4 linked regions of the Struthio camelus genome follow. The protein of the gene in region 1 interacts with the protein of each later gene in a biochemical or structural test. Links are inferred from orthologs where the notes say so. Each region holds a gene or a part of one and is shown on either strand. Other genes may lie near its edges.

Region 1 (7,685 bases):
GGCCATGCCAGCAGGGGGGCGCCGGGCAGGGCTGGTGCATGCTGGGATCTGTAGTTCCCTGGGGCTGCACCCCTGGCTTCGGCTGAGGGACTGCACTGTTGGATTGGGGTCAGGTGGCTGGGATGGGTGCTCCCTCCGTTGTGCTGCGGAGGCTGGGAGCCCTGTGCCCACGGTGGGGTACGGAGGTGGGGGCTCCCAGGCTTGCAGTGCAAGGGGCTGGCAGATAGGGTTGACTTCCAAGAGTTGCTGGAGCCTTTTGGGGTGCAACCCTGCTCCAGCTGCCCCCTTCCAGGGCTCCGGAGAGAGCTGGGAGCCCAGCACCCAGGCCAGAGCCGTGCCGGTCGCGCCAGGCTGGAGCGGTGCCTGTGGCGCTGGCCGGGGGCCACTGCGGCTCAGCTGGGGCCGTGCCTGTCCCGGGGGCCGCGGCGGGGGCCGGGGCACCTGTTGCCAGAGAAGAATGGCGCGTCTGGTGGCGGGTGTAGGAGGTGTAACCGGAGCGGCGCGTTCCTGGCCGTAACCGGAGCCGGGCAGGCTGAGCTGCGACAGGTGGAATTTCATTTTGCAGCTCCAGCCCCGGCAGCGGCACATGGGGGGTGCCGGGGGCCCCGTGCCGTGGGGGCCGGCGGCAGCTCCCCGGAGCGCCTGTCTGCGCCCCGGCGGGGATGGGGAAGCAGGGTGGCACGCCGCTTGGTGTGGGGTGGGCAAGGGACCGCCGTGCTCGGGGACGATGTGGAGCAGGACGTCGTCCCCATGGGGCAGCGCAGGGCTCGCAGCCAGCACCGGGGCCCTCCCCGGTCGTGTGCCGGTCCGGCCCCGGGTTTGTCTATGCAAGGGGAAGCGGAGGCTGCCCAAGCGGGTCTGGCTGGGGGGCGCTGCCGGGGATGGGGGTCCCCGCTGGCCCATGGGGTGCTGGGGCTTTGGGGTGCTGGAGACTCCTGCGTGGGCCGGAGCTGCCCCCCAGCGCGCTGGCCGGGGTGGCTTTGCGCCCTGGCGGGGCCGGGGCAGCCCTGGCTGCGGCACGCGCTGCCCGTGCTGGAGCGTGTGCAGCCGGCTCCGGCCCAGCAACATCCGCTCGGCTGGGGCATGATTCACGCCTGCCCGGGGACGTGAGAAACGTGACGCTGACTCAGAGGCCGGGATGCTCTGGGAATACAGGGAGGGGGTCTCGCCGCCGGCCCTTCCCGGGGGGCACCTCGCTGCGCCCCTCCTGGCGGAGCCGCGGCGGCCCCGGGGCTGCCCGGCTGGGGAGGCACCGGGGTGGCCGGGGCCGTCGGCCTCGCGTGTGAGGCCGCCCCGGCCGCTTTGCTGACAGCAGTGAGGAAACCGCAGGCTGTGACCGCATAGCGGATCCGCGGGCGCTTCCTGCCATGCCCGTGGGGGAGGCGGCGAGGGTGCCCAGAGCCCCCCCCCCCCCGCCCCCCTTGCTGGCGCAGCCGCCGCACCGGTGCCCCGTCCCCCAGCACCGCGGCGCGGGCCCCGGCTGCGGCTCGGGGTGCCCCCGTGACCGTCCTGGCGAGGCCGGGGGCCGCGGGGTGCCCGGCGCGGGGAGCGGGGCCGGGGCAGCCCCGGCTGGGGTCCAAGGTGGCGTGGGGCCAGAGCTGAACCGAAACCCGGCGGCCCCGGGAATCGAGAGCGGCGAGGGGAAGCTGCGGCCGGGAGCGCTGCGGTCGCAGGCATGACAGGAAGGGCTCGGTCACTGGGTTTGCCCGCTGTCCCGATAGGCACCAAGAGCGCAGCCTGGATTTGCCATTACCCTGGCCCCGGTGGCCCCCGCGGTGCTAGCCGGGCAGGGCGGTGCCCGCGGCGCCGGGTGGCACCCCGGCCCTGCTCCCTGGCGTGTCACATCCGGGGCACTGGTGCTGGCATCGCCGCGCGGCCCCGGCAGGAAGCACGCCTGGGTTGGGTGGCATGAGACGGGCGGCGCGCCTGGGGGTTTTGGGGTGCTGGCTGAGGCTGGGCCAGCTCTGCACCCTCCCTGCCAGCCCCTCCTGGCCTGGACGGTCCCCCCTGCATTTCCGTGGTCCCCATGGGGCAGGATGGGGATGCCGCGTGTCCCTTCCCAGGGCTGGCAGGTGGTGCTGGGGATGGCTGCTGGAGACGCGAATCGCGGTGCGTTGCCCCGCTGCAAGCCCTCCTGCTCGGCAGTCAGCGCTGGCCGTGCCGGGCGCGGGGGAGCTGGATGCGACCCTGCCCCGCGAGCGCGGGCAGTGGGGTGGGCTTTGTGCCCTGGTCTTGGGCCTTTTTGGCTCGAGGGGCTGGGGGACCCCAGCAATGTGTCCTGCCCCGCTGCGCGGGGGCTGCCGGCAGACCCTGGGCATGGGAATCGTCTGTCCGTGCGTCCGTCCGCTCCCTGGGGCCGCCCCCAGCCTGGTCGGGAGGTTCCTCGTGGCTGGGATTTGGCCCGAGCTCCATGGCCTTGTTTTCTGCGGGGCTGGAATGAGGCTCTGGATTCCAGGAAGTACCGATTCCCGGCCAGCTCCTGCCGGGGAACTGGAGGAAAAGGCGCCTGCCCGGCCGGGCTGGGGAGGGCGAGGGGGCTCTTCACCGCGCGGGGCTCCCCGCCGCCGGCTGTGCGGCCCCATCCCCACCTTCCCGCTGCCCCCCCAGGGCTTGCCTGGAGCGGGGTCCCTCCGGGACTGCTGCCTGGAGCCCTGAGCGTGGGGAGCGGAGCGCGGTGGTCCAGGGGGATCAGCCGGGCTCTTCCCTCGCCTCTGGTGGTGGGCAGCAGCAGCGAGCCGGAGGGCCTGTGCCCCCTCGCTGGCACGGCGTGCCGGTGAGAGGAGACGACGCAGGACCTCGTGGCCAGCCCCGTGCCGCGGCCCCGCGGCCGGCCGGGCACCGGGAGGGTCTGAGCACGCCGCAAAGGAGCTGCGGCTGCTTTTGGGGTGCAGCGTGGCCGGGCTGGGGCCGAGCTGGGGGGCCAGCCCCTGCCCGAAGCTAAGCAGGCTCTGCCTCGGCCAGCGCACGGATGGGGACCCTCTTTGGGGCCGCGGAGCAGGGCTGCGTCGGGTCTCGGGAGCCCTCCTGGCCGCCCGCGGCGGCGCGCAGAGGCCGGGACGGTCCTGCAGCCGCCTGCCCCCGTCCCCTCTGGGTGAGGGGGCTCGCGGCGGTCGGGCCGCCCCTGGCAGGCGGCGCTGGCGCTGTTCTCTCCCAGGCCCGCGGTGCGCTGGGGGGGCGTGAGCAGGGTTGAGTAATTGGGCCCCGCCGGAGCCTGGCGCCGTGCCTGGCAAGCACTTGGCACCGGCGAACATAAACAGTTCTTCCCGCGCCTCGCTCCCCTCCGCTCCCCCCGGCCGGCCCGGCTCCGGGGGGGCCCGCGGGCAGGCCCCGCGCCGGGCGCTGCCGGGGTGCAGGGTGGCGGGGGGGGGGGGTCTCGTGGCTGCTGCGCCGCCCCCGGGGAACCCACGGGTGCTGCCCAGGGGCACGGCCCCGCGCGAAGGCCGTCTCCTCCCGGCGGCGCCAGGCTGGGCTCGCCGGGGGGGGGCTGCACCCAGGGGCCGGCGCAGGCCCGGCGCGGCGGCACCCCAGGGCAGGGGGTGTCCCGTGCCCCGCGGCAGGGTGACCCACGCGGGGCTGCGGACGGGACCCCGGCATCGCCTGCCCTGGGCACCCACGCCGGCGGGCAGCCGGAGCGCGGGCGCCGGGCACCGCCGGGGCCGGGAGGAGCGCGGGGCGCCCTGCCGGCGGGTGCACCCTGCCCGGGGTGGCCGGGAGCACCCCGGCCCGGCCCCGGGGGGCAGGCGAGGAGCGGGCAGGGCCGTGCCCGTCCCGGCCCCTCCCCAGCGCCTCGCCGGGCGGCCCAGCCTTGTTCCTCTGGATCCTTTTCCGCCTCCGCGGGGCCGGGAGCCAGCGCTCTCGGCAAATAAACATCCCCCGCCGGGCCTCGCGCCAGCGCTTAAATAAACAGCCAGCCCGGGATTGTGAAAGCCCCGTGCCCCCCTTCCCACCGGCGGCCCCCCGCCCTCGCCGGCGGCCCGGCTTGGCGCGGGGTCCGTGCCCGGCGCGGGAGCCGCCGCCGGCAGCGCGGCGCGGGGCGAGCGCCGGCCCCTGCGCTGGGCCGGGTGGCTCGAGGCTGGGCAGAGCCGGCGGGGCGGTGGGGAGAGGGGCTGGGTGAGCCCCGGCCCCCGGGGCCGCGGCCAGGCACGAGGCTGAGCCCCCTCGCGCTCGGTGCACGTGTGGCCGGGCAGCGCGTGAGCCGCTGCCCCCGCGTCCTCGGGGAGCTGGGCCGGAGCGAAGCCGCTGTCCTCGGTGGACGCCGGAGCGCGGCGGCTCCCTCGCGGCGCCCCGGGGCCGGGGGCGCGCGGGGACCCTGCCCCGGGGGTGCCCCTCCGCCGCCCCGGCCCGCTAAGCCGGGCATTAGAGACCTGCCGCCCCGGCTCTCGGCGTCGTTAACCCGGCGGGCAGCGCGGGGCCGGCCCCGCACGGCTGCCTCCTCCCGGCGCCTGGGGAAACTGAGGCACGGCCGCGGCGGGCGGGAGCGGGGTCGGGGTGTGGGGGGGGGGAGCCGGGCGCCCCAGCCCCGCCGCCGCCGCTAACGCCTCTCTCTGCTCCCTCCGCAGCCGTCGCCGGAGCCGCTGCCGCCTCCTCGGCCCCCGGACGCGCCGCGGACCGCCGGCGGGCAGCGGTGAGGCCGTGGTGAGCGCGCCGGGCCGGCCGGCGGCCCCATGCCCTGCCGGGCCGCGGCGCCCCGCACGTGAGGCCGCCGCCGCGCCGGAGCCGCCCGCCATGGCCAGCAACAGCAGCTCCTGCCCCACGCCCGCAGGGGGGCACCTCAACGGCTACCCCGTGCCCCACTACGCCTTCTTCTTCCCCCACATGATCGGGGGGCTCTCGCCGCCCAGCACCCTGGCCGGCATCCCGCACCAGCTGCCCGTCAGCGGATACAGCACGCCCTCGCCCGCCAGTGAGTACCGCCGCGCTCCGGGACGCCCGCGGGGACCCGGCCGGCCACCGCTTCCCCCCCGCCCTGCCCCGCGCCGGGGGCCGCCGGGCCGGGGGGCGTCCCCCCCCCCGCCGCTTCGCCCGCCCTGAGCTTTATAAATAGCTGCAATAACAGGAAACAAAAGGGCCGAAAGGATAAGCAAACCCCTCGCGGCACGAAGGGCCCCGGGTCCGCCGCGGTCCTGCCCCGGCGCGGGGGCGAGCGCTGGGGAGCCGCCGGGACCCTTCCCCCCCCCCCCCATCCGTGGGGAAACTGAGGCACGGTGGTGGCCACCGGGGGGGTTGATCGCCGCAGCCTGGCCCCGTTCGTTAAGGGCGGTGTTTGTACCCCGGCTGCTAACGGCGCGGGAAGCGGCCCCGGCTCTTTGTTCGCCCCCCCCCCCCCGGTGCGGCGGCGGCCCCGGCCCCGGCCGCCTGCGGGGGAAGCGATAACCGCAATCATCGCGTCTGCTCCTGATTCAATTTGCCCCTGACAGGCTCGTCCATCACGGGGGCCGGGGACCGGCCGCGGCGCGGGAGCGGCTGGAGCCGGGGAGGGGGCCGCGCCTGGATCCCCCCTCGCAGCCCTCGGCCCGCCGCCTGCCTCAGTTTCCCCGGCGCTGGCTCCGGAGGGGGCGGCCGGCCGGCAGCGCCGCCGGCGGGGAGGGAAGCGGGCTTGGCGGCGGCACTGCCCCGCGCGCCTGTGCCCCCCCACCCCAGGGTGCCGTGGGGTGCCGGGGCGGGGGGCAGCCCCCTTCCCGGGCGCCCCGGGGCGCGCGCCGCCGGGGAGGCCCCCGTGGGTCGGGGTGCGGCGGGGCCCGGCCCCTGCCCGGGGGGGCCGGTGCAGGCCTGGGCAGGGCCGGCCTGGGGCGCTGTCCCCCGCCGGAGCCGCCCCGACGGCACTGGGACCTAGTGGGACCAGTTCAGCCACTGGGTGGCGGTGGGTGGGGCCCCTCCCCCGCGCTTGCTCGGGGGCCATTCCCGTTGCACGGCATTGTGGGAACGGGGGGGGTGCGCTCACCCCCCCCCCCCCGCTCCCCGGCACTGGGGACGGTGTGGGGGGCATCGCCGGGGTGTCGGGCAGGCCTGGAGGTGCCCCAGCGCCCGGACGCCTCGGCTCCCTGCTGGCACGGTGCCTCGTGCCTCAGTTTCCCTTTGGCCTTACTGCGGGCAGGGCGGGGGGTGTCACCTGTGGGGTGCAGCGGGATTTCGGGGAAGGCCGTGTCTGGGGGATGCCGCGTCTGGGGAAATGCAGAGTCCCGGGATGCCGCGTGTCCGGATGGGCCGGGGTCCCGCGGGATGCTGTTCCGGGAGTCCGCAGGGTCCCGGGGGAGCTGCAGGATCTGGGGGGCCGCGCAGAGCCCTCGCGCTCGGCCCCGGCACGCCGGGCAGGGGCCGGCGTCCCCCTCGGTGCGGCGCTGGCCCGGGAGCGACGTCCCCGCGGAAGGGAAGTGCTGCGGGGTCAGCGTCCGAGCTGGGAGGGAGCCCAGGCGTCCGGGGAAGGGCCGCCGACCCCGGGGCCGGGGCTGGGAGAGCGCGGAGGAGCCCCGCGCGGGCGGCCCCCTCCTCGCCGCGCCGCGCACCTCCCGTCCCAGCGCGGCTGCCGGCCCGCCCTCGCCAGATGTGCTGCAGCTGCGCGGCGGCGGCGCCCCGGCCGGGCCGGGCCGGGCCGGCGGCGCATCCGGAGCCGCCGGGAACGTTCCAAGGCGTTTGGGCTGCCGGCGCCGTATCCGGCCCCCTGGGAAGCCGGGGCGGCCGTCTCGCTCCCCGCGGGCCCCGCGCGCCCCCCTCCGCCTGCCCCGCGCTCCTGCTGGGGGGCACCGGGGGGCCGGAGCCCGGCCCGTCCTGGGCACCGCGGGCCGGGGAGCCCCCGCCGGCCCGAGCGCTGCGGTTCCCTGGCGCGGGGTGGGGACGGGCGCCCGGCTGCAGCCCCGCGCCGGGCACGAAGGGGCCCAGGCGTGCTGCACCGGCTGCGGCGGTGGGGGCGGGTGCCCCCTCCGGGCTGGCGGTCCCGCGTGCCTGCGGGCTGCGTTGGCGCTCGCATGCGTGGCGGGGCGCGTCGCAGCCGGTGCGGGGCGCGCGAGCCTGCCCAGCGCCGCTTGTGAGCGCGCGAACCCCGCGTTGTGTGCAGAGCTGGCTGCGCGGGTGCCCGCGTCCATGCGCGCGCAGCCGGCGCTGCCGGTGTCTCCACGCGCCTGTGCGCGTGCCCTGCCTCCGGGGCAGCGCCGGCTGTGCGTTCAGGCGTGTGCACGTGTGCGAGCGTGCTCGGCGCATTCGGTGCGGCACTGGCTGGGTGTGCATGTGTGTGCACGTGTGTGAGCGTGCTCAGTGTGTTCAGTACAGCACTGGCTGCGTGTGCGCGCGTGCACGTGCGTGTGCTCGGTGCCTCGGGTGCCGCGCCGGCTGCGTGTGCGCGCGTGCACGTGCGTGTGCTCGGTGCATTTGGTGACGCGCCGGCTGCGTGTGCGCACGTGCACGTGCGTGTGCTCGGTGCATTTGGTGCCGCGCCGGCTGCATGTGCGCACGTGCATGTGGGTGTGCTCGGTGCCTCGGGTGCAACGCCGGCTGCGTGTGCGCGCGTGCACGTGCGTGTGCTCGGTGCCTCGGGTGCAACGCCGGCTGCGTGTGCGCGCGTGCACGTGCGTGTGCTCGGTGCCTCGGGTGCCGCGCCGGCTGCGTGTGCGTGCGTGCACGTGTGTGTGCTTGGTGCCTCGGGTGCCGCGCCGGCTGCGTGTGCGCGTGTGCACGTGTGTGTGCTCGGTGCA
Region 2 (7,158 bases), on another chromosome or scaffold:
TTATTCCTCCAGTTTGTTCTTCAAATACCTCACACAGCACATTACCAGAAGAGATGACAGTTTTGCACTGTTTTGTCCCTCCTGCTTTCTGAGAATTTAGGAACTCCTCCCATCGTAACACATTTCTCCTCAGTATAATCAGTTGTAAACAGTGACACCATTTCTTAAATCCTAAACTGAGTTTACAACTGTTTGATATCAGTTGGAAAACAAAACAGCTAGTGCACATTATCAAGTCAAACTTTAGTTAGCTAGCATACAATCCATTGCCATTTCAACAAGACCAAAACAGTGACAGCAGAAGACCTAAGTAATCTGTCAAGGAGAGTGTGAGTTCAATAGAAGTTCCTCCTTTCTACTGGAGGATGAAAAATAGCATGGAAGCATGCAAGTAACTAGCAAAAGATGATGATAGGGTAAAAATAACGTCACTGAACATGTTACATCTGTAAATTTGTAGAACACGGAAGTACATACACTGTATTATTCATTCCCACTGTTCCAACTCATATAGACAGAATAATGAGCGAGGTGGCAATAGTAAATTGGTAGTTCTATTTTTCTCCGTCTCCCCCGCCATCTCTACCATTTGTCCTCTCTTCACTAGATCTTTGAACAACACCAACCTTTTCTTCTTACAATGGATCTTGTTTCTTACCCCAGCTACAGACCTCTAGTTCTGCTATATATAAACAGGACATCTGTGAATTGAGCTATGCCCTTTATGACTCAAAACTCATGAGAAAGTGATTATATGATCTCTGAGCCTACATCACAACAGCAGCTAGCTGCTTCTCTGCCCTCTTTCTCATTTCCAAGCATTTCATCTTCAAATATCCTATCATCGACCACACTTTGTGCTTTTCAGTTCTTCTTAAGCAGGATTTCACAATTCTTTTACTCCTAGACTTACCATGAGCAATACACCTCACATGCCAGCCAAGTTTAAATGCACTGGGTTTGGGTCTTACAGATTTTCCCATTCTGGAATCTCTGGCTAGGCAGTTTGACTACTACACGAACTGCATACTAATATTAAAGACTATTGAGAAGTATTATTTAAAACAAACAAAAAAATTCCTACACAACACAGACATCCATGTAGATAAAGAGGCTCAGCATATCAGGCTAATAAAAAACTAACCAGGCCCGATCTCAGATACTCTGAAGCAAGTTGTCTCTCCCAATTGTCTCAAAGACTCCTTTCTCTCAAGGTATACCTCTATGAATCGCAATGGTTGTAAGCTAGCTAAATAACTTTTGCACGTTCAAGTTGTGGTCCTTCTGGGCAGAACTACTGGCAGCATGGGAAAAGCTTCCAATCTGCAGTTCTGAAATATGCCCAAAGGACAACGGCCAACACTCACCCAAGGATAACTTATCGGGAGTTACTGTTCTCTTCATGTTTGATTTCTCCCTTGACCCTCCCACTATACTTCCCTGTAAGCAAACTACCACTATCCATGAATTCCTAAGGAGAAGCTCGATTTGAATCACTTCTCTTTTCCATGCAAAAAACTCCAGGATCTTCACCCATTTCTGCTAGAGGATACTTGCTTGCACGTTCTTCCAAGACGAACTTGCACTCAACAAAATAAAGCAACTCGCTAAATCAAAGACAGCTAGAAGGGAACATCACAAAAGTAACTTCAGCTTGCAGTAGTTTACCATAGATATCCTCTACAGCAAAATGCTTTTTAAATACATCCACTCAAGCCACTGCTTCAGAACACGTGCTCTCCAAAACTTCCTCAAGGCGTTCTCCTTTCAAAGTGACAGTTAAGCAACTTGTAAATAAATGCATTACCAGCTCTACCCAGTCTACCAATCACGTGGACAGTGTCAAGTGTTAACGCTCGCTCCTGCTTCCTACCGTCTAAGTGTTTGAACCCTCCCTCCGGCTAAGCCCCCTGTAAAAAGGGATGACACCTGCAGGGCGTCCCTCTCGCTGACCTCTGCGGCACCATCCTCCCAAATTACCAGCCCAGAAACATTACTCAAAAAGTCGGTTAGGATCCTGGCTATCAACCGGTACGTTCTTCTGCTCTGCGCTCCCCACAGCATCCCGTATTAAGATTTTTTTTTTCTCTCGGAAACGGGGCGAAGGAAATCCCTCCAGCACGCAGAAGCCCCCGCGGGGGCGGTGGGGGGGGGGGGTAGCGGCGCCCCACAACGGTCCCGCGCTGCGGGGGGCGGGGAGCCCGGCCGCCGCTCCCCTCCACCCACACAGCGAGGTCCTGAGGAAGTGCAGATATATCGCTTTCCCGAGCGAAGAGGGAGATTTAAACACAAAAATTAAAAAGAAAAAAAAAAATCAAAATCCCAAGCGCCCCCACTGGCGCCGCGGGGGGGGGGGGAAGGCTGGGCACAAAGCCCCCCGCGGAGCCCTCCGCGCCCCGGCACCTGCCCGCGCCCGCCACCCCGCCCTTCCCCCCCGCCCCGCGCTGCCCAAACTCCCGTCGCGACAGCGCCTCGCCCTGTCGCGAGGCGCTAACCCCCGCGAGGCCGGGGGCGAGGGCAGATGGGCCACTTACCGGGCGTGCAGCGCAGCGGCGAGGCGGGCGACGAGCCCGGCGAGGAAGGGGGCGCGGGCGGCGGCTCCTTGGGGACGCCGGCGGCCGGGGAGGGGATGGCGGGGGGCAGCATGAGGTAGCGGTCGGGCTGCGGCAGGCAGCGGAGGCAGACGGAGTGGAGGCAGGGCAGCAGCTTGGGCCGCCGGCTCTGGATGGGCTGGCCGCACACGCCGCAAGTGTCCAACAGGTTGAGCGGGGCCGCCTCGCCCCCGCGCTCCGCCGGGCCCTGCCGGCTCTCGGCCTCGTTCTCCCCGCTCAGCGCCGCCGCCCGATCCGCCGGGCAGGGCGCCGCCGCCGCCGCCGCCGCCACCACCACCGCTGCTGCTGCCGCCGCCGCCACCGCCGCCTCTTCCATTGTCCTGCACCAGCCGCCGCCGGAGCGCTGAGGGGAGGCGGGGCGGCCCCGCTGCCCTCGCTGCCGCTGCCTCCCTGCCTGCCCACCCGTCCGCCCGCCCGCGGCGCCGCGCCGACCCCCGCCCCCGAGCGCGGGCCGCGCTGTTTGTGTTCCTAACCCGGGCGAGGGCTGCACCCGCCGCGCAACATGGCCAACGGCCGCCCAGGCCCCGCCCCCTCCCCTCCCGCGCCACCGCCCCGCCTCCCTTTCCCCCCTCCCACCACACCACGGGGCCCCGCCCCCTCCCGCCCGCCCGGCCCGCGGTCTCGGCCCCGCCGCCGCCGCCGCCGCGCCTCGCCACAGCGCCCCGCCCCCTCGGCCCCGCCCCCTGCCGGGCTACGTGCGCCGAGCGCTTCTCCCGCCCCCGCCGAACCCCAACGGACCCGCTCGCCAGGCCCCGCCCCCTGCGCGGACGGTTGGCGCGGCCCTTCCCGCCTTCGCACCCCTGGGCGGCCCTAGGGCTACCCACCTCCCCTGGGGCCTTCTGCCACCCCTCACCCCATCCCCCCACCCCGCCCCGAGCCACACATCCCGCCTTAGGGGCGTCCTGCCCCGCTCAGCGCAAGCTGAGTGAGCTCAGCGAGCCCAAGCCCCCTATCTGCTCACCCCCGACCTCAAATGGCCACCTTGTCCTTTCGGTGAGGGGCCCGGCGCGTGAGGCGTCACACCAGGAGGGACAATCCGGCGCTGCTCCCTCGCCTCACCCTCCGCCGGGCTGCGGTGTGCGTGTCAACACGCGGGCGGCCGAGCCGCTTGGCACCGGGGCCAAATGGGCAGCCATGTCCCCACGTCCTCCAGACTCAATTTGGGGCAGAGGGTTTTGCCCTCCCTTCAGAAGTCACTAAAGAGGTTGTTTTTGTCCCTCATTTTATGTGTGGGTTGTCTGTGTAAATGTTGGCACTTGGTCAGTTTGGCATGTTTTGTCCACACAGCCATTTGCGGGTGTAATAACTCTCTGAAGTTGAGAGGCAATCAGTAAAAAGTAAACTGTAAAATCTGATTTAGACTCAACATTTTATTGAAATAAATGCTCATCCCCCTTCTGCTACTTAAGAAAACATGCAGACGTAAAATAACTGCTTGAGTGTTGGTCACAAGTCAACAGTAAACTGATGCAAACTCTTCGACAGCTCTGCTGTCGGGGGGGCGATGCGTACCAGAAGACGATTAGGAGGAGCAACAAAGTATTCCCTCAGTGCCAGAAGCCCTGGGAAAGCGCGCATAATATGAAGACTCGTGTCAGTGCCAAGACGGACAGGTGCCCGTGAGCCATCAGAATGCAGATATTGAAACTAGGGCAAGGACGTGAGAGAGGGAAGATAATCTTAGTGCAGAACGCGGCTTTTATTAATGTAGCAAAGCAAGTGTAATCAGTAAACACAGCTGTATTCTTACATAATAAGGGTCCGGTATGCAAGAGAGGACGAAATGTGAAATAAATAATCTTGCTTCACCATACGCAAGGTTCGTGTCTTCATCCCCACAAATGGTGCCCAAACAGGGACTTGAAGAGTGAAATCCGGTGGGGAGCCCAGCTGAACTCGATAGAGGCTGCGCAGCATTTGTTACCATTACCTTCACGGAAGGTAAGCAGCTGGGAACATGGGGAATTCTGTATCATCAGAATATAAATCTGTGTACAAGGTTATGCAGCGTTTTTTAGAGAAACGGCGAGTAACTGTAAAGGAAGAAAAAGGAGCTTTCAATTTGGATTGCAGCGCATGTTGACGAAGCTAATACGAGTAATATATATAGTAAGGGGACTTGGGATACCATTGGGGTGTGTTTGTGGCATGCTGCAGCCTCGGATGATCCCGTCGCCCCTTCCTTCTTAACTACTTGGTGACTTGTATTTAATGCATTAGATCAGAATCACCAAGAAAGTATGCAGAAGGCAGCTAAAACGCCTTCTGCTCCTCCTATGCGGAGCAGTGAACCTGCGGAGCCATTGGATCCTGGCCCTGTAGACCCTAAGAAAGAACCAGATCTATTTCCTCCGCAAACTCCTGAACCTGTTATATCAACGCCGGTTGTTACGCCTGTACCTCCAGTAGATCGATGGAAAGAAGCGCGAGCCCAGGCATTGGCGGAAGGAGACCTTGAGTGCCTTCAAGCCGTCACAATGCCTGTCCTCCTGCGCGAAGGTCAAGCCCCCACTTGGGAAGGTTTTCCTTTTGTCTTAATAAAAGAACTTTGAAAAAGTATCAAAGGCTCTGGGCTTGCCTCTCCCTATGCATGGGGCTTGATACAATCGGGTTTTAATAATATGATTTTAACACCTAATGACTGTTGTACGCTGACTCAGCTTTTGTTGACCCCCACGCAGTATATGTTATGGCAGCAGGCATGGCGGAATAATTGTGATCAAGCGGCTGTGACTAATTTGGATCGGCAGCCAGGAGATCCGTTGTATGGAGTAGGCACCGCGGTACTTTTGGGGGAAGGCCCCTATTGGGAACATACAGCGCAGTTATGCATTCTCCGGGGGGCGCTGGCGCAAAGTCAAGAAGAGGCATTAAGAGCATTGTTAAACCTCCCTGATGAAAATGGGAAAGGATCTAAGTCATTTGAGACGATCAAGCAGGGTGCTACTGAAAACTAAAGGCAGTTTGTCAATCGCCTTCATACTGCATTGGAAAGACAAGTGGATAATTCCGAAGCTCGAACAATTCTATTAAAACAAATGGCAGACCGATATTACTCACATCCCGGACTTTGGTGTTTTTTGCTTTGTCCATGTTTCTCTGGATACCTATTCTAATTTACTGTTTGCCAGTGTTCATCGCAGAGAGCGCGCTTGGGGTGTCTGCGCTCACTGGACGCAAGCTTTTGCTTTTACGGGTGTGCCTCATACCATTAAGACTGATAATGGTCCCACATATGTCTCTGTGAAAATTCGTTCTTTTCTTCAAGCCTAGGGAATCCAACATTTAAATGGTATTCCACACAACCCTACCAGGCAAGCTTTAATTGAACGTGCCCATAGTACTTTGAAACAGATGCTCTCTAAACAAAAAGGGGAAACCGAGGGGTATGGGACTCCTCAAGAGAGAGTGGCAAAGGCCTTGTATGTCCTTAACTTTTTGAATCGGGTCCGTGATGAGCAGACCCCTGTTGCCTCCCATCTTAACTCTTTTTCACATCTTCTTCCCTCAGGACAGGCACAAGTTATGATCTGTGATCTGGACTCCGGCCAATGGAAAGGACCTTTTTCTCTGATAACTTGGGGGAGGGGTTATGCTTGTGTTTCTACAGGTACCCAGCCTCGTTGGTTCCCTGCTCGGTGTGTTAAGCCCTATGAAGTACCACGCCAATTTTGTAGCGGAGAATCTGAAGAAGTCGTGGCGTAGTTCTGGGAAATAATATGTTATTTCCTGCAATAATATGCTTTTGTGTTATGTCTGGAGAAACAACGGACGTGGGCAAAGGGATGTGGCCCTCTGTCTCCGAACGACCTGATCTTTGGGTAACTATAGCCAATGCCACAGGACAGGACACTGTTTGCCTGCCTGTGGCTTCGGCTGCTAACCCTTTTCAAACTTGTCTGGTGGGTCTTCCAACAGACGGAAAAGTATATCAAGTTTGTAATGGTACCCCTGCCGCCCTAACGGGCTGTAGTCGGTGGGGTGATGTTTGGGATGGTTGGACGCCCTACCTACCGGTGTTACCTGGGGAACCACAAGAAATAGAGTTATTAGGTTCTGTGCAGATGGATCAATGTATATATTTCAATTATACAGGACAAAATTCCTCTCAAAGGGGAATCACTGTTGTTAATGCTACTTTAGCTGTTTATCGCAATACAACTTTATGGTGTAATGTAACTAGTACAAACATTTCTAAATCCAGGAACGACCCTTTGAAATTACCACAAGGAGTGTTTTTGATCTGCAGCAATCGTGCCTGGCAGGGAATCCCATCTCGCGTCACGGGTGGTCCGTGTACCGTAAGAACATTGGGAATGTATTTGCCCAATTCGACAATGATTCTACAAAAACGACAAAATCGCACTAGACGATCTACACATCTTTTTCAAAAAGATTGTAGAGATTATCTTACTTTCTGGAACCCAGGAGAGATTATTACGGCATCCATTTTTACTCCTGGGGTGGCTGCTGCAAATGCTTTAGCAGCCTTAAATAAATTAGGGTGTTGGCTTGCCAATCAGACTAATAATACTGCAACGGCACT
Region 3 (7,947 bases), on another chromosome or scaffold:
TCCAAAGGAAGTCAGTTGATACAACTGCCTGCATACGTGCCCCAATTCATTTGACTATCTTGCAAAACTTCTGAATTTCCTGGGTAATTTCAATCAAATTTTAACAAAATGGTAACAGTTATAAAAAATATTTTGTCAGATAAAGTTGTGTACATCTATAGATGGTAGGGTAGAGGAAAGATAATCGCTCTACTGAGGAGAAGTTGCCATGTTAATTTATTACATACAAGGAAACCTATGTATTAAGCAAAATCTATAGGAAGTCAGACTTTAACTTTTATTGCCTATGGCACTACTTGTTTTCTACACACATGAGGTACTTGGATAGCACAAGAACAAGGTGAACAGATAGATGCATTTTTCAAGGCATCAGCATTACCTTTTTTATGTATAGCAGTAACTGTAGAATATAGTAGTAACTGTATTGATGCAATAATTCAACACATCTGCAATGAAAGCAACTATAACTGAGGAAATAATGGAAGGGTCCAACGAGCAACCTCTATTTGGATTTCATGGCATCCAGAGGCTTTATGAATGTTTTTAATAGGGAGATTTGGCTTAGAATACATGCTTAGTGTACATATAGGATATCTCAGGGAGTGATTAAGGAATGTAAGTCAAGATGATAATAGTAGTCACATCTCTGGCCGGTGTCTAGTCTTAGTTATCAACATGTTTAGAAAAGTCTATTAAAGTTTATTCTGAGTTAAATTTCCATGAGTTAAAATGGAAGCCATGCTTTTTCATTAGGTCATTATCCTCCAAGAAAATGTTATTTTACTAGGTTTCTGAATACATTGCAAGTAGGGGAAAACAAGTAGAATCAAAGGCATTTTCAGTTTATATTTCAACCTAAGAATCAGATTTCTGGAAAAGGTCCTTAATATTACGTTATAAGTTTTTCTAGAAGGTCAGATTTCATTTTATTCTGTATACAGGTTACTGGGTAAAGAAAAAAAAATTTGACTTTCGTATTCTATCAATACTTGTATTTCCGCTGCTGAAAAAACCACCAAGCTATTTTAGCTGAAGGCAAGGTTATCTAGCCATCCTCGATTTGGGGCAATCAGCCATCAAAAAACAATTCCTGGGAGTAAACACTACAGTTAGAGACATGCAAATAAATGCTAGAGTTATAAATAATAGTGCTACACATGAAAGAAAAACAAATCAAAGGGATTTCTACATGAAGCAAATCTGTATTATGCCTCCTACTGAGTTGTTGTTATATCTTCATGTACTCTGTTTGGGGGGTTTGTTTCTTTGTTTTTTTTCTGTAAGCAAAGCCAAGCCAAGCCACATGTTCCAGCAGGGTAAATCAGGTAAAGTCATTTGTATTTCTTTTAATTTTTGGAAACAGCCTACATTCCTCTGTGTCTTACTCTCTGCTCTAGTGTACCAGCGTAATATGTCTCTCAACCCAGAGCTCAAGATGATTTAATATAATTTAGTATTAAAAAAAGACTTGTTTAGTTTTAAATTGTGTGACACAGTTGAAGATGCTGCTAAAAGATTTAGATTCTGCTAAAAGAAAAAAAAATTAAACAAACTGTTACTAAAAATCAAGTATATTTTTCATATTAATTTATGACAAGGTTGCCTTTGGCAAACGGTCAACTATAAGGCTTGAGAGGTGAAGGAGCATTAGCCTGCTAAAGGCAATGAAGGTATGTTGATCTGCACCAGTATTTGATTTGGCCAAATATTTGGAAGGGACAATTACAGCTTAGAAACAGGAGGTCTCTTGCTTAAAGGGAGGGGCCTTGTGCAAAAGTTAGAACTGAAATGCTGCTCAGACAATAAGCTTTAGTCTTCCATGAACCTCAGTGAGGATTCATTTGGAGTAACATTTGGTGCTGTGCAGGAGACTAAAGATGGCCTATTCTTCAGCCAAGTTCAGTTATATTCTCCCATATTTAGGGCTCCCATAATGCCCATGGCTCTTGCTAACTATCTATAAAAATATATCTTTAATTCCCCCTCACACATACACACACACACACACACACACACACACACACACATTTCCCCCTCCCCCCATTCTAAAAAGCTAAAAAGAGGAATTACATAGGTACAGATATTGAACCCCTGCAGCGATCATTAGTTTCCCAGGGTGTCCTGGGTATCAAAGATTAGATCCAACACATATTAGCATTAACCTCGTTGAAGTTTAGAGTCATTTCAATCTCAAGTTAAAAATCTTTAAAACATTAATTAGGAAATGTAAATATATTTGCAGATTCATACATGTCCTTCAAAAAGCATGTAATCAGTCATTTCAGTTAGTACAGCTGCACTGTCAGAAATGCAAGAGTAGATTTCCTATAGAAAAGCACCTAAAACAAAAAGAAAGGATGACAGTAACATATACACACACATTAGGAGCCCTTTTCTCCATATAAGCTCCCTATCCATTAAAACTGTAATTCATGAACAACATCAGCAACAAAATAATACTCCTTAAAATTTTGCTAGAAATTGGAATACAGAGTGGACACTGTAAAATGAAATGCAGCAGAGTAAAGAAACTCTCTGCAGTCAGGCATAGGAGCCTCATAAAAGCTACAAAGTACCATAGACTGTACTGCCGTAATTTACTTGTCCCTCACTTTCTTTTTATCCTATGCAAGCAAAAGCGGCACTGGAAATTATAGAGCAGGCAAAGCAGAGCCACACAACTTCTGAGATGTGGCAGCAGCTTCTGTACTGAATTCTTACATTACATACATTACATTAACATTTCAAGGCCTCACAGATGAGACCAAATTCAGAGAAGTATGTATATGAGAGGTATATAAAGGAAAAATAGATGAGATCAGACCATCCTAAAGCGTACCCCAACTTGTTTCCACCCACTCAGAGTATCAGGAACTATAATCTAAACTGGTGTAGGCTACATACCAAGCAGACAAAAGTAGATATGAGAAACGTATGGTTTTGAGTGGCAGATATCTATTTTATGATATTTTCTGTTGCTCTCCAGTTTCTTTTTCCCCACATCTGCTCTTCTTGGCTCTTCAGACACAACACCTGGATATTTGGGAAGACTAATTTCAAAAAATGAAAAGGAGTTACTTGTGTTTCCAAGGGTAGGGGGTAGAGGAATCACTCTTCAGATGGCATATAACTCCCAGAATTCAGAGAAAGAATTAGGACAAAATGTCAGTTATTCGTTCATAAAAAGAAAGCAAAACATTAAGACAATTACTTCCTTAGTGATATCCCCATTCGACACAGAAAAATCAAATAAATTTGCACCCCTCAGTAGAAATTCATCTACTTATACCTATTACTGTCCCAAAAATTAGCATCCAGCCTTTTAGACATACCAGCCATATACCTTTACCTGTCATTACACCCTTGCAGACCGGAAAGAAGCTGAACAAGTAAACAACGAGAATTATGGTCTTTAAACCAAAGGAATGGAACTATATTATGGTCAATAGTGAGGACAGCAGGATCCAGGTTCCCTCTCCCAAGAAGGATAAAGAGACTGACCCCAGAGCAATTTCAACCAGTGTGAAGAGCCTTATGCTTCTCAAAACCAGACTCACAGAGAGCACACAGGACAAGGGCACTTCACTGCCAGCACAGCGACTGCGCATCTGCACCTCCGAATCACAAGCCCGCATATGCCACTTCTCCTCATTGCTATACCCTGAAGTCCTCATTCAAGCCACATTGTTGTTCAAGCTAAGGGGGATTACCATTGGGGACCTATACAGCAAAGAATTGGTGATCAAGCATAATAGACAAGTCATTACCCGAACCTAATAATTCTGCAGTAGAAACAAAATGATGTTCATGTTGATTTTTTTTCTATAATCATTTCATATTGATATAGAAAAGTTAAGATACTGAAAGAGTATTACTCACAAGAGGAAATTTCTCCTGTCCATTCTACGTACATGTAATTTTTAAGGAATGAGCCAAGGGTATGGAAATGAAAACTAATGAACTCCCTGCCAAATATTATAGATTCCCTAAGTTTAACGCCCTTTTCATAATCCGCCTCTCACAAAAATCACAGTGCAGGTTCAAACCTAATTCATTAACTGCACCTCTTTAGTTAAAGACTATGCAGCATGCAGGCCTTTTGCTTATTTTTTTAATTCAAAGGCCGAGTAGGACACTTAAGGTGTTTTAATAACAGCCCTATATAATATCTACTTTTTTCCAGTGTACACAGTTTGACTGTGTTTTTTGAAGGGATAAATAGAGGTTTTTGAATTCAGTGATCGTTAGACAAGTACAGCACAGTATTTCTGGGTTTTTTTAGAGGCAATATTGACCAAAGACTATTTTCTGCATAAAGTGACTCTTGCATATAGTCATAGCCTAGCACCAATACAGTATCGCTATCCATGTCTGACAGGCAGATTTTCAAACTGCATGGATCAATTAGAAAGTCATGGGCAATAGTCAGCAGGGGAAACCTCACAGTCTGTCTAAAGAATACAGTTTTCGGCAGCCCATGCTCCATGATGTACACTCATGATCCCCCTGTAACTCAGGGAACATAACTTTACCACTTGGAGACCATACTGCATTGTGGAATTCACTCTCACTGCCCAAGACACTAAAAATTGTTTGAAATCAGGTTTGTCAGCTCCATTAAGAGAAACAGACCTTCTCTCACCATCAAGACAGACCCATAAAAGGTCTTACGTAATGCTAAATACTAATGGCCTTTGCACTGCACAAATCCCAAAAGGCAAAGCCAGCAACCCAATTACTTTTTTTTTTTTTTTAAATAAAGAAAAAGTAGCCAACAACACTTTCTAGACAATGAAACTGTAAGCGTGCTGGAAGAGAGAGAGCTCTGTGCTTTGCCACTTGCCTAACTCTCATTCCCACTTACCAGTCTTACCAGGGCTTTGCCTAATACAGCATTTTGCAGCTGCTCAAAGTGCAGATTTCCCTCCCTCCCCACGTAGTAGCTGGGAAATGCTGGGAACCAGCAGCTGTGGAGATCGATGTTGGCTAGGCTGAGCAGAAACGCTAAGGCATTTCTCATCACAATTATGCAGAACCAAATGCCGTAGCTGTTAATCAAGCATAACTCAGTGGGAGCTTTGCTCAGCTGAGTAACAGAGAGTTTGGCTCATTCTAGCTGGAGGATTAGAGCAGCACAGCAGAAGCCATTCGGTTCTCAAAACGGAGATTAGCACCCTCTCTTAGCACACGGGAAAGCACCCTTCCCCTGTCTTCACCTCTACCAGTCCCTCTAACCAGGGGACTTCAAAAGGAAGGTGCATATGAATGAGTGATACTGAAAAAGCAGGGACCAAATCACAAAGGAGCACGGGGCATTCACTTTTCCTTTCTCTTATCCCAGCTTGCATGCTTATAAACTCTCTTCTCCTCCTGCCCTCAATAGCTGGAAAACGACAGCATTTAAGTCCAATCTGAAGCATAATCCTAGCATACTTTCTAAAACCCTTGTGTAGCCTCCCAGCCATACAATGACCTGTGGTCAGTTTGTTTCCACTATTGTGATCCTTCTCCTAGGAGGCTCTGAGTGATCCGGGTAGCTAACGTCCTGAAGCCTGAGGTCTCTGCTCTTGCAAAACTCCAGTCAATGTAGAGAAACTAGTTAATAGGGGGGGGAAAAAAATAATTTACCAGTTGAAAAAAAATTAAAACTTTTTTTAAAGTTATATTCATTTGTCCAAGTGAGTGGATAAGGTGCTCAGAACAGGTGCATCCTGAGCAGGAGAGGACATCATGAGAAAGTATCCTAGGCTGGAAAGAATATACTGCAGACACAAGTGCTAACCATGCCATGGTGTGCTTTCTCTAATGTCACATTACTCTTTCTTCGGGCTCCTTGGTTACTCAAAGAATCACTTTCTCTGGAGATCCTGAAGATCTCATCCTGTGAAACAAGACAGACGGAGGTAGTAGAATTGGACCAGGCTGAGCAGGAAAGGAATAGAAAGAACTAATATTGTTGATGTTTGCAGTTACAGGCAATTATTAATTTTTTTTCCTGTTTTTGAAAATATTATAAGCCTATATCAATAATCCTCATAGAAAACTCCAGCAAAAAATATTATTTCTACTTCTTGCCACTAAGGAGTTAAGACCTAGAAACTTTCATAATCAATTTTATTTCGCAGTGAAATTCATTTCAAACCAGATCCTAATACCAGTTTTGAAACAATCTCTAATCTGTAGATTGCAGAAGGATTTTTGATCTCCATTTTAAGCTGGAGAAAATGCTTCTTCTCCCCCTCCCTCTAGCACTGGAAGGTTGCGTAACTGGCAATACATTTGCATCTATTTTATATTTACACTAACTCACTGCTTGGAACTACACTTGCATTGTTTCACGGCTTATTTATTTTCACAAACAAGTGCTGTAGAGACTTGCATTTGCGCACTTCTGTGGTCCCCCTGAATTCAAGGAGATTATTCCCAGTGTATAGAATTAAGCAGTACATAAATCTCTGCAGGATCTCAGCCAAAGAGACTGTTTCATTAGGAAACAATAATGAGACATAGCCTTGTGCTAACTCTGTGAGCCAAATTCTGTCCTCAAAGACACAGGTTTGGTTGCTTTTGGGAAGGGGGCAGTTGCCAAACACCCCTGGGATGCAAGCTGGCCGCCTGGCCAGCCACCCCATGGATGAACATAGGGTGTAATTTGGGCATGGGTCTGCTCTGGGCAGGGGAGCAGGGGCACAAGATGACCTCTGTGCCTCTCCACCTGCAGAAGGACGAGTTATATTTCACAAAGTATTTGGTGATCAGTGTGAAGACATGGTGGCACTCTGGAGGCAATATAAATGCATTTTTGGCCTGGCACTCCAGCTAAACTTAATTCACTTCGGTCTCTCCTCCTTCCATTGTCTTCCAAGGCCCTCATTGCAATGGGGATCACATCATAGGAACGTATCTATATAGGTTTAGGAAGCACGTGCAACTTTTTATAATAAAAGGAATAATAGATAGCTTACATTATTCATAACGTAACTGATTTCATTTGCATTATGCTTTACTTTCCAGATTTTTAAACAAGGACATCCTAATAGAACTGTACAGGCAAATTTCTTCTGAGATTCATGCTCTAGAACAAAAATAAATGTCTTCCACAGAAATAGTTATTAAAATGAACATTACACATTGTTAGATTGTGGCCTAAATTGACAAGGTTAAAATATAGTCCAACATCTTCTGTCCTGCATCTTCTGTCTCTAACAAAGAGAATAGCTATAAAGCTTTAAAACAATGACAGGGGCAAAAAATAAAGTGTCAGGCACATTTAAAAAGGAAAGCAATACACATCTAAAAGCTCCCCTGAAATAGTGTTTGATGGCTGCTTAAAGAAAAGGAAGCGCCTTTGAGTCAACCCAAACCATCTGTGAAACAGTAAAATGGAAGGAAAAAAAGCCCAGAACAAACCCAACAACAGAATAGCCAAGGCAACAAGAGAGTGACTGGAGGCAGACAGGCGTTGATTCTCTCCTTTAAAATTCACAATCATGTGTTTCTTCCCCAGAGATGCTGTTCACGTGCAGTGGCTTCACAACATTTCCTCTAGAAAAAGAAAACATTGCAAGTAAATATGTTTGCATTTGTCACTGACTACATAGACACTCAACTAATTCAGGCGAGTAAATCTGTTTTAAAGGCTATCACTGATAATCAGCTGAGAAGAAAACACCGATCTTCAACCAAAAACCGACCTGATCTCTTGCCTCTTCTATTGAAAGAGCCATGGAAATTACAGACCCTCCTAGAAAGAAAGCAGAATCAATGGAATTCTTCATTCTGGATACTTGAAAAATCTGTTATCTTCTTTATATTAATCTAGAATTTTCTTGGAGTACAAAGCAGGAAAAAGGAGTTCTCTTATTCCTTTTTGTTTCATTTACTCCTGTCTTCCTCAATGTCAGTAAAATTCTTGAGAATGACTTTTTTTTTTCTTGCAGTCATAAG
Region 4 (7,870 bases), on another chromosome or scaffold:
ATCATTCTTCTATCTTTTCAATTTTTGTACAAATTCAACCCAAACCCCTATATAGGGCTATGCTTTGAGACTACTCATTCAAGCTTGTGAAGACGACAAAAGTCCTCTCAGTTCCAAAAAGGTGACAGTTCTTAAATGTTGTAGAGTCCACTAAGCACCTTCTTTCTTACCAGAGTTCTCAGACCAGTTACACTTTTTCCCTCCTATTAATTAGTCAGGAGACTAGACAATTAAGAGTTTCATGAGCTTGACACACCATCTAGAACCAAACCTTAGCATTCAGCTATCGATTTGTACAAACTAAGGAACATATCATGTGGCTCAAATGTTCAATTATTTAAAATATGTAGTTTCTTGCAAAAGAACACTAGTGATCTATTCTGGTGGTGACAGAAGAGTAGGTAACACTGGTAGAGTTAAACATCAAATAAAAGACAAGGTGACCATTCTCTTCGTAAAGCAAAGTTGGTAATCTAGCCAACAGATGGAAAATATCACACCTGGATTTGGTGATGCATCCTCTCTGCCTCAAGTTTGTGTTTGTCTAGAATTATTTTTTCTTTCCATTTCCTCCCCTTAACTTTTCCCATTCTCCATATTGTTTACCCCAATTTCCTCTCTAGCCCAACAAAAACGAGTTTATGCTTGAACACAATTTGTGCAATGCAAGACATTTTCAAGGTTAAGTGATGTTGTTCAGCGGTCTACGTATTAACAGACCTGTACTGTTTACCAGTACCATTTACTATACACTACAGGGTTTGTATTTCTCAATAGGGACCACATGATTTTGAAACAGACACCAACATCACGCCTTCTGCCTTTCAGAGGTATGCTAACGATATATACAACTTCATTATTCCCAATGCAATCAAACTGTTACAGCCATTTTAACTCCTTTATATCTTCAGTAGCAAATCTTTTGCCATTGTAAATCTTATAAATTCAGTGTGTCTATGTAACTTAACTGTGACTACAATTATCATCTAAAAGCAATCAACATAGTATTAGAAAATAATAAAATATACTGTAAAGCTGTTTAACAATTCAGTTATCAGTTTAAAGTATTCAACATCTGCAAGGGTATGCAATATCTGACGGTATTGTACTTAAGAAGACCAAAGAGCAATATTAAGATTGCTTATCAGAATTTAGTTCTATACCCCAATATTTTCAAGTATTCAAGCAACTGAAAAATTAAGACACGAATACTTAGTTTATGAATGTCTGGTTTTCCCAGGTTTCCCACACTAAAAAAAAAAAAAAAAAAAAAAAAGGATGCAGCCTTTTCTCTGCTAGAAGAGTGTAAAATAACAGCATCAGTTGGAAGCCTTTTGTAAACAACTCCTCCCTGCAAGTTCTACAGAAGAATAAGTCTTGATGGCCTTTTTTGAAAGATACAAAATTTACGTTCTTTGTGGTTGCTTTCTCATATGTGAAATACTGAAAGATACTTTTGTTTTATATCTGTAAAGAACTAGCCAGAAAGGCTGCAATGAAAAGTAATTGTGAAATAAGTATCAATATAAGAGGTACTGTCTTTCCTATAACTACAATTCAGATTAGCTTATTCACAGTTCAGTAAAGGTAGTAAGCCCAAACGTGCATGCATCTGGAAGGTGAGGGGTTATGAAGTGTTAAAGACAAAGCTCATAAACTAGAATTTGCAGCCAGCTTTCAAAACCAGAACAAGCAGAGTGACAGGAGAGCTGCCACTTCCCGTTTCCCCTGTTCCCTGAAGACATCAGAAGAAATCGGAACCCTCCGTTTTCTGAGATGTTCCAAAAAGCAAGTGAAATTCAGAAAAATGCAGAAGTCAAACCACGGGAATAAGATAAAAATACCTTTTTTATTACTATTTTAAAGAGATAAGGAAGAATGCAAACAAAAGTTTGCAATCAAAGAAACGTCAGTGCATCTTCACTGACATCCCCAAATGATGTCAGTGCCTGCATGAGCTCAGGGCACGGAAGTTAAAATAAAAGACCATGTCCTCAGTTAAAAAAATAAAGTTCCTGATAGCACTCTGACTGCTTTCTAGTATTAGCAAGAAAGACTTTCCTCCTCCAAGAAATAAAAGACTCTGGCACAGCACAGCAGAATCAGCCAGTTACCTCCTTTACCTTGGAGGGATCAGTCAGTCACAGGCCACAGCCAAAGGCAGACTATTACTTTTAGGTTTACACAGGTTACAGCAGCACAACAGCTGCAGGAAGAAGCCTTTGAGATCTAAGTGCAGGGAGAAACACGGCTACTTTTAAGGAATCCCACCTCCAGGAGCCACCTCCTGACGTGTGGCCGGTCCACCTAAGAGGCTGGAGGCCACGGACGCCGGCAGCGGGCTGACACGGCGGTCCGGACGTGACCGCGGGCCCGGCGCACAGCCTGCTCCGGCGAGGGCTCCCCGCCAGCACCGGGGAAGCAAGGCAGCTCCGCGCACCCGCACGCCACGGAGGCGGGCAGGGCCCCGGGCCGCGCTCCCCGCGCGGACGCTGCTCTCCAGACGAGCCGGCTGGGCAGCCCCGCTGGGGCACCCCGGAGCCTCCCGAGGCCGGGGCCTGCGCGTCCCCCCAGGCGCCCGGCACGGCCGCAGGCTGGGCTCGCCCGCACGCCACGGGGCGCCCCGGGCGCAGACCCCGCCGCGCGGGGGAGGCCGCCGCCGCCGCCGCCGCCGGGCCCGGCCCAGGCGCCGCGCCGCACCGCCGGCCCGCGCCCTCCCCGCGACGGGCTCGGCCTGCTCCCCGGGCCGCCGCCACTACCGGCCCTCTGACATTGCCGGGGCGCCGCTTCCGCTCCGCCGGCCTCTGTCAGCCCCGCGGCCGCGGCCTCGCGCTCCCGCCCGGCCCCGCCGGGGGCTGAGGGAGCCCCCCCCCGCGCCGCGCCGCGCCGCGCCGCGCCGCGCCGCGCCGGCCTCACCTGCCGCTGGTGCCGCTGGTGGCGGCCGCGGGGCCGCCGCCGTGCCCGCTCCGCGAGCGCGCGCGGGAGGGCGGGGGCCGCCTCGGCGAGCGGGGGCGCGCGGCCCCGCGACGGCAGCGGGCGAGGAACGGCCCGGGGGGGGGGGGGGGGCGGCCGAGCGAGGGGAGGGGGCGGGAGGTCGCCGTCGGCCCTGCCGAGCGCCCGGGACACCCACCCCGCAGGCCGGCCGCGGCTCCGCCTCCGCCACCGCCTCCGCGCGGGAACACGTGACCGGCCCCGCCCCGCGCCGCCAGCGCGCGCGTGCGTTGGAGCGGGCCGTGCGCGCGCCCGCGCCGCGGCGGGAGTGGGCGGGGCGCTCCGCGAGGCAGGCGCGCGTCGTCCGCCTGCCGAGGGCCTGCGGGCCGAGGGGGCGCGCACCCCTCCGCCCCGAGAGCCTGGGGGACGTGCCGGGCCCCCGCGAGGGGGATGCTGGTTTCCTCACCCGCAAGAGCCTGGGGGACGTGGTGGGCTCTTGCGAAGGGGGACGCTCGTCCTCTCACACTCGAGAGCCTGTGGGATATGCTGGGCCCCCTGCTAGGGGGACACTCTTCCCCTCACCGCTTGGGAGCTGGCGGGATATGCTCGACCCCCTGCAAAGGGGACACTCATCCTCTCCTCTCTGAGGCCTGGGGGGACATGCTGGGCCCTCACAAAAGGGACGCTCATCCTCTCCCCCTCCAGAGCCTTGGGGACATGCCAGGCCCCTGTGAGGGGGATGCTGGTCCCCTCACCCCCAAGAACCTGGGAGATGTGTTGCTCCCCCCCCCCCCATGCAGGGGTCGCTCTTCCCCTCACCCCTTGAGAGCCTGGGGGACATGCTGGGCCCCCTGCAAAGGGGACACTCATCCTCTCACCCCTCTGAGAGGCTGTGGAGCCCCCATAGTGGGGCCCCCACAGAGGGGGAGGGCAGCCTTTACCTAGCACCTTATTGTGTGTACCCTCCCTCACTTGCCTGCCAGCCCCATGTCCCCAGCACAGACATGCAAAGGGGAGAGTGTTCCACATTTAGAGATGGGGACACTCCCGCTCCATGCACGTGTTCATCTCCACACTGCTGCTCAGGGTGGGGTGGGTTTGTGCCCTTCCTTTCTCTATACACAGGGAGTTTCCTCTCTCACTGTCCTGTATTGTATACACGCCCTTCCAAAGGGAAAGCCTGATTCCCCATGGAGAAATTGTGGACACTTTTCCCTCTACTGAATGTGAAGGGCTGTACGCCTTGTTGAAAAGAGAGACAACTGAATGTCCTCAGGAGTCCGTCCCTGATCTCCCTTAGGGAGACCTTGATTCCTACCCCTTGGAGAGAGCATCTTGGAAAAAGACCATCCTCTCCTTCTCTGAGGACGCCTCATCTTTAAAAGATCCCCGGAGAAAAGCCCAATTCCCACACTCCACTGAGACACTGGGGAATGACCTACCAAGCATAAACATCCTAGGGACACCCTCTCACACATTAGCACACTGAGCGGGATGCTCTCACACAGAGTCCCTTTCTGGGAGACCCTTGCCTCCTCATGCCTTTACGGACTGGTGAGTCACAGAATCACAGAATCACAGAACGGTTGAGGTTGGAAGAGACCTCTGGAGATCATCTAGTCCAACCTCCCTGCTCAAGCAGGGCCATCTAGAGCATATTGCCCAGGATCGTGTCCAGGCGGGTTTTGAATATCTCCAGGGAAGGAGACTCCACTACCTCTCTGGGCAACCTGGGCCAGTGCTCTGTCACCCTCCCAGTCAAGAAGTTTCTCCTCATGTTTAGATGCAACTGCCTGTGCATGCAGATGTTCTTGGGGAAGACCGAGCCTCTTCCACTTAGGGGTCAAGACAATCCCCTCCTAACATGGACCCAGCCTAGACCCTACTCTGCTGAAGCTCTAGGGATTCCTCCTTGTTTGGACAGCTGTGGGGAAGAACATTCCTTTCTGCAGACTGGGAAGGGGTCAGAGATATCCCTCCCCAACATGTATGAAGACAAAAATCCCCCCTACAGGTAAGGTGGCAAGGAGAGTCTCAGCAGAGATCACGGCAGAGAAGTGGGCAAAAAGTTATTTCCCTTTCTCTTTGAAGAGAGTCTATCTCTTCCTCTGGCCACACATGCAGAGCTTCTTCTCTAGGTGTTCCCAAGGGGAGAAACTTTCTGAGCTTGGAGCATGGGAAGCCTCCTCCCTAACTACTGAAAGAAACATCCAACAGTTCTGCATTGCAGCACATGAACGTAGATCGCTGGCGTATCAGGTTAAGCCATGAAACCTAAATTAAAAGCCATTTTTCTCACTAGCGAGAGAAACTGGTGGACAGCATGACTCCTGTTAGATAGCCCTAAATACTGTAGCTCTTAGCCCAGTGCAACTTTTTGCAAGTGAAAGCGATGCGTCCTTCACAAGGTGAAAGGGCAGTGGGAACATGTATGCAGATGTGTTTGACGATGCGGGCTTTCAATAAAGCCTTTCCACATTTGGAGAGATCCCTTGCATCACCATTCAGATGACTGATACTTCACTTGTGATAACTTTGGAGGCTGTGGGCTTTGTATCCAATTCTGTAAATTAAGAGAGACATGGCGCTACTGGAGAGAGTCCAGCGGAGGGCTACAAAGATGATGAGGGGACCGGAGCATCTCTCCTCTGAAGAAAGACTGCGAGAGCTGGGCCTGTTCAGCCTGGACAAGGCAAGACTGAGAGGCGATCTCATCAACCGTGTACAAGTATCTGAAGGGGGAGTGTCAAGAGGATGAGGCCAGCCTCTTCTCCGTGGTGCCCAGCAACAGGACAAGAGGCAGCGGGCACAAACTGAAACAGAGGAAGTTCCATCTGAACCTGAGGAAAAACTTCTTGACTGTGAGGGTGACTGAGCATTGGAACAGGTTGCCCAGAGAGGTAGTGGAGTCTCCTTCCCTGGAGATATTCAAAACTCGCCTGGACACGATCCTGGGCAATATGCTCTAGAGGTCCCTGCTTGAGCAGGGAGGTTGGACTAGGTGATCTCCAGAGGTCCCTTCCAACCTAAACCATTCTGTGATTCTGTGATTCTGTGAAATTAGTAAAAGGTATTTCCTGGATGAAGCTATAAAGAAAAATCAATACCTTTCCTAAAAATTAGCAGGAAACAAAGTTTGAATACAGATAGTACCTTTCATATGAAGATTTCAGACTTTATAAATATCAAGAACTTATATCTTAGTCTACTACTGGGGAGATGGGGAAGAAAGCAGAGAGAGAACTGAAAGATTCAAATACAGCAAAGGCCACTACAGTGAATTTTTTTAAAAGTCCATTTATCTGATTAATGAACAGGACCACAGTCTTGCAGTCCTCTTGCATGTGGGCAGATGTTTACTTCCTAAAAAGACACAATAACACAGAAGGGCTTTACAACAGAGATTTACTCACACCGAACAGCTTGCAAGACATGGAACCGTCCCAGGAATTTGCTCTTTATCCTACAAACCTTTATTAATATGAAAAATGCTAAAATAATATCGAAAGACAGTGATACTGCAGAAATGTCTGGTTTTCTTCCTGCCAGTCACTGCTTTAATCAGAAAGGTATGAGCCAGTGGTGGTAAAGCAAAGAAAGACATGGCAACTATTATTTAAGGCTGATAAAATAATCAAAGGTCTAAAGAGAATATTTTGGGGAAAAAGTAAAGACCTTGATCCTGCAAAAATATGTATGATTAACATTAGTAACTTGAGCACTGACTTCAAAAGGGGATAGTGTTGTCCTGGGAATCTGACTTACTCTGCTCATATCTTTTGAGACAGGTTGAAAACATGAGGAAGCTGATAAAACTGCAAGCTGAAAGACTTCTTTAGTATCTGAGAATTACCTTTCTTCCACGCTTCTCTTCATACCTGCAAGGGGTGCTTCTCAACCCGGATGCATTTAACTTCCTCCTTGTAAACAGCCTAATCTTCCTGAAAAGGCTAATACATTTCACCAACTCTTGCACAGAGTTAGATCACTTAAAAAATCTCATGCTTCCCATAAAACACTGCTATCTTTGTTGTAATTACAAACTTAACGCAAAGTTTTCCTTCAACTTTTTTTTATTTGCTTGTTTCTGTATATATTATCTACATTGATGCAGGGCACATCTTGTACACTGTAGCAAACAATAAAAAGTAGAACAATTATTTTTCAGACTGAGTTTTCAGTCTGAAAACTGAAAGTTTCTGAGGCACAATATTAATATATTTCACTAAGTTCTGCTCTAGTGATCTAGATGCTATAGCTTTCTGATCTGGACTTAAGAAGCTCTATGTAGATAACCTTCCTGTGTCTAATCACACATGGAGGTTGTGAAAAAGCTCTTCCTTCATTTGCAGCTTGGTGTCTCATATATCCATTTTGGACTTTGTAATATGCTTCTCCTGATTGCTTTTTCTTATGCTTCTGCTTGCTGTTGTAAATGGCCAAATAGACACAAACTCGGCATGATTATAATTAATCCCCATTCTATCAAAGAGGTGTAAATCAGCTTTGCCAAGAGTGTAAGAAACTAAGGGAAGGATAGAGCATATATTCAGCTGACTCAGACCTGAAGGGACATCAAGGTGAAAGGACAGGTCTGAGTGAGAAAATCCTGATGAGAGAGTACTGTGGTGAGGCATCTCTGTCCGACGCTGGTGGCTAGAGGAACCAAAAGAGGGTTTTACCCTCCAGTATATTGCAGCTAGTGAAAGACCTTTATCTCATTGGCTGCTAATGCATGGAGCAGGAGACCAAAAGGCAGATGCCTGCTGGTGGCAAGAAGGGAATAATGTGATGTAGAGGACTGTGGTGGGAGGAAAGGGGACTTTCTCCCATTGAACTTGGCAGTCTGAGGAAGCTGTGGGAGGAGCTATACAGGATACTTCAAACCCCACTGCCTTGGCTTCCTGATGCCTTGTATGCACAAGTGGACTCACCTCTG

What was found.
Region 2: the proteins of RARA (region 1) and TRIM24 form a complex in vitro, tested with the Homo sapiens proteins (3 studies listed by BioGRID). The link is inferred for Struthio camelus from reciprocal best matches to the Homo sapiens genes RARA and TRIM24.
Region 3: the proteins of RARA (region 1) and NRIP1 form a complex in vitro, tested with the Homo sapiens proteins (4 studies listed by BioGRID). The link is inferred for Struthio camelus from reciprocal best matches to the Homo sapiens genes RARA and NRIP1.
Region 4: the proteins of RARA (region 1) and NCOA6 form a complex in vitro, tested with the Homo sapiens proteins (3 studies listed by BioGRID). The link is inferred for Struthio camelus from reciprocal best matches to the Homo sapiens genes RARA and NCOA6.

The regions. Positions count from the first base shown.
Region 1 is NC_090966.1:6,907,200-6,914,884, forward strand, and holds the start of RARA (retinoic acid receptor alpha), read left to right. Parts: upstream 1-4,670; 5' UTR 4,671-4,725; coding exon 4,726-4,903; intron 4,904-7,685. UniProt on the Homo sapiens protein: Receptor for retinoic acid. Retinoic acid receptors bind as heterodimers to their target response elements in response to their ligands, all-trans or 9-cis retinoic acid, and regulate gene expression in various biological processes.
Region 2 is NC_090942.1:64,646,468-64,653,625, forward strand, and holds the start of TRIM24 (transcription intermediary factor 1-alpha), read right to left. Parts: upstream 3,004-7,158; 5' UTR 2,929-3,003; coding exon 2,535-2,928; intron 1-2,534. UniProt on the Homo sapiens protein: Transcriptional coactivator that interacts with numerous nuclear receptors and coactivators and modulates the transcription of target genes.
Region 3 is NC_090942.1:112,855,391-112,863,337, forward strand, and holds the start of NRIP1 (nuclear receptor-interacting protein 1), read right to left. Parts: upstream 3,006-7,947; 5' UTR 2,905-3,005; intron 1-2,904. UniProt on the Homo sapiens protein: Modulates transcriptional activation by steroid receptors such as NR3C1, NR3C2 and ESR1. Also modulates transcriptional repression by nuclear hormone receptors.
Region 4 is NC_090959.1:623,523-631,392, reverse strand, and holds the start of NCOA6 (nuclear receptor coactivator 6), read right to left. Parts: upstream 3,016-7,870; 5' UTR 2,917-3,015; intron 1-2,916. UniProt on the Homo sapiens protein: Nuclear receptor coactivator that directly binds nuclear receptors and stimulates the transcriptional activities in a hormone-dependent fashion. Coactivates expression in an agonist- and AF2-dependent manner.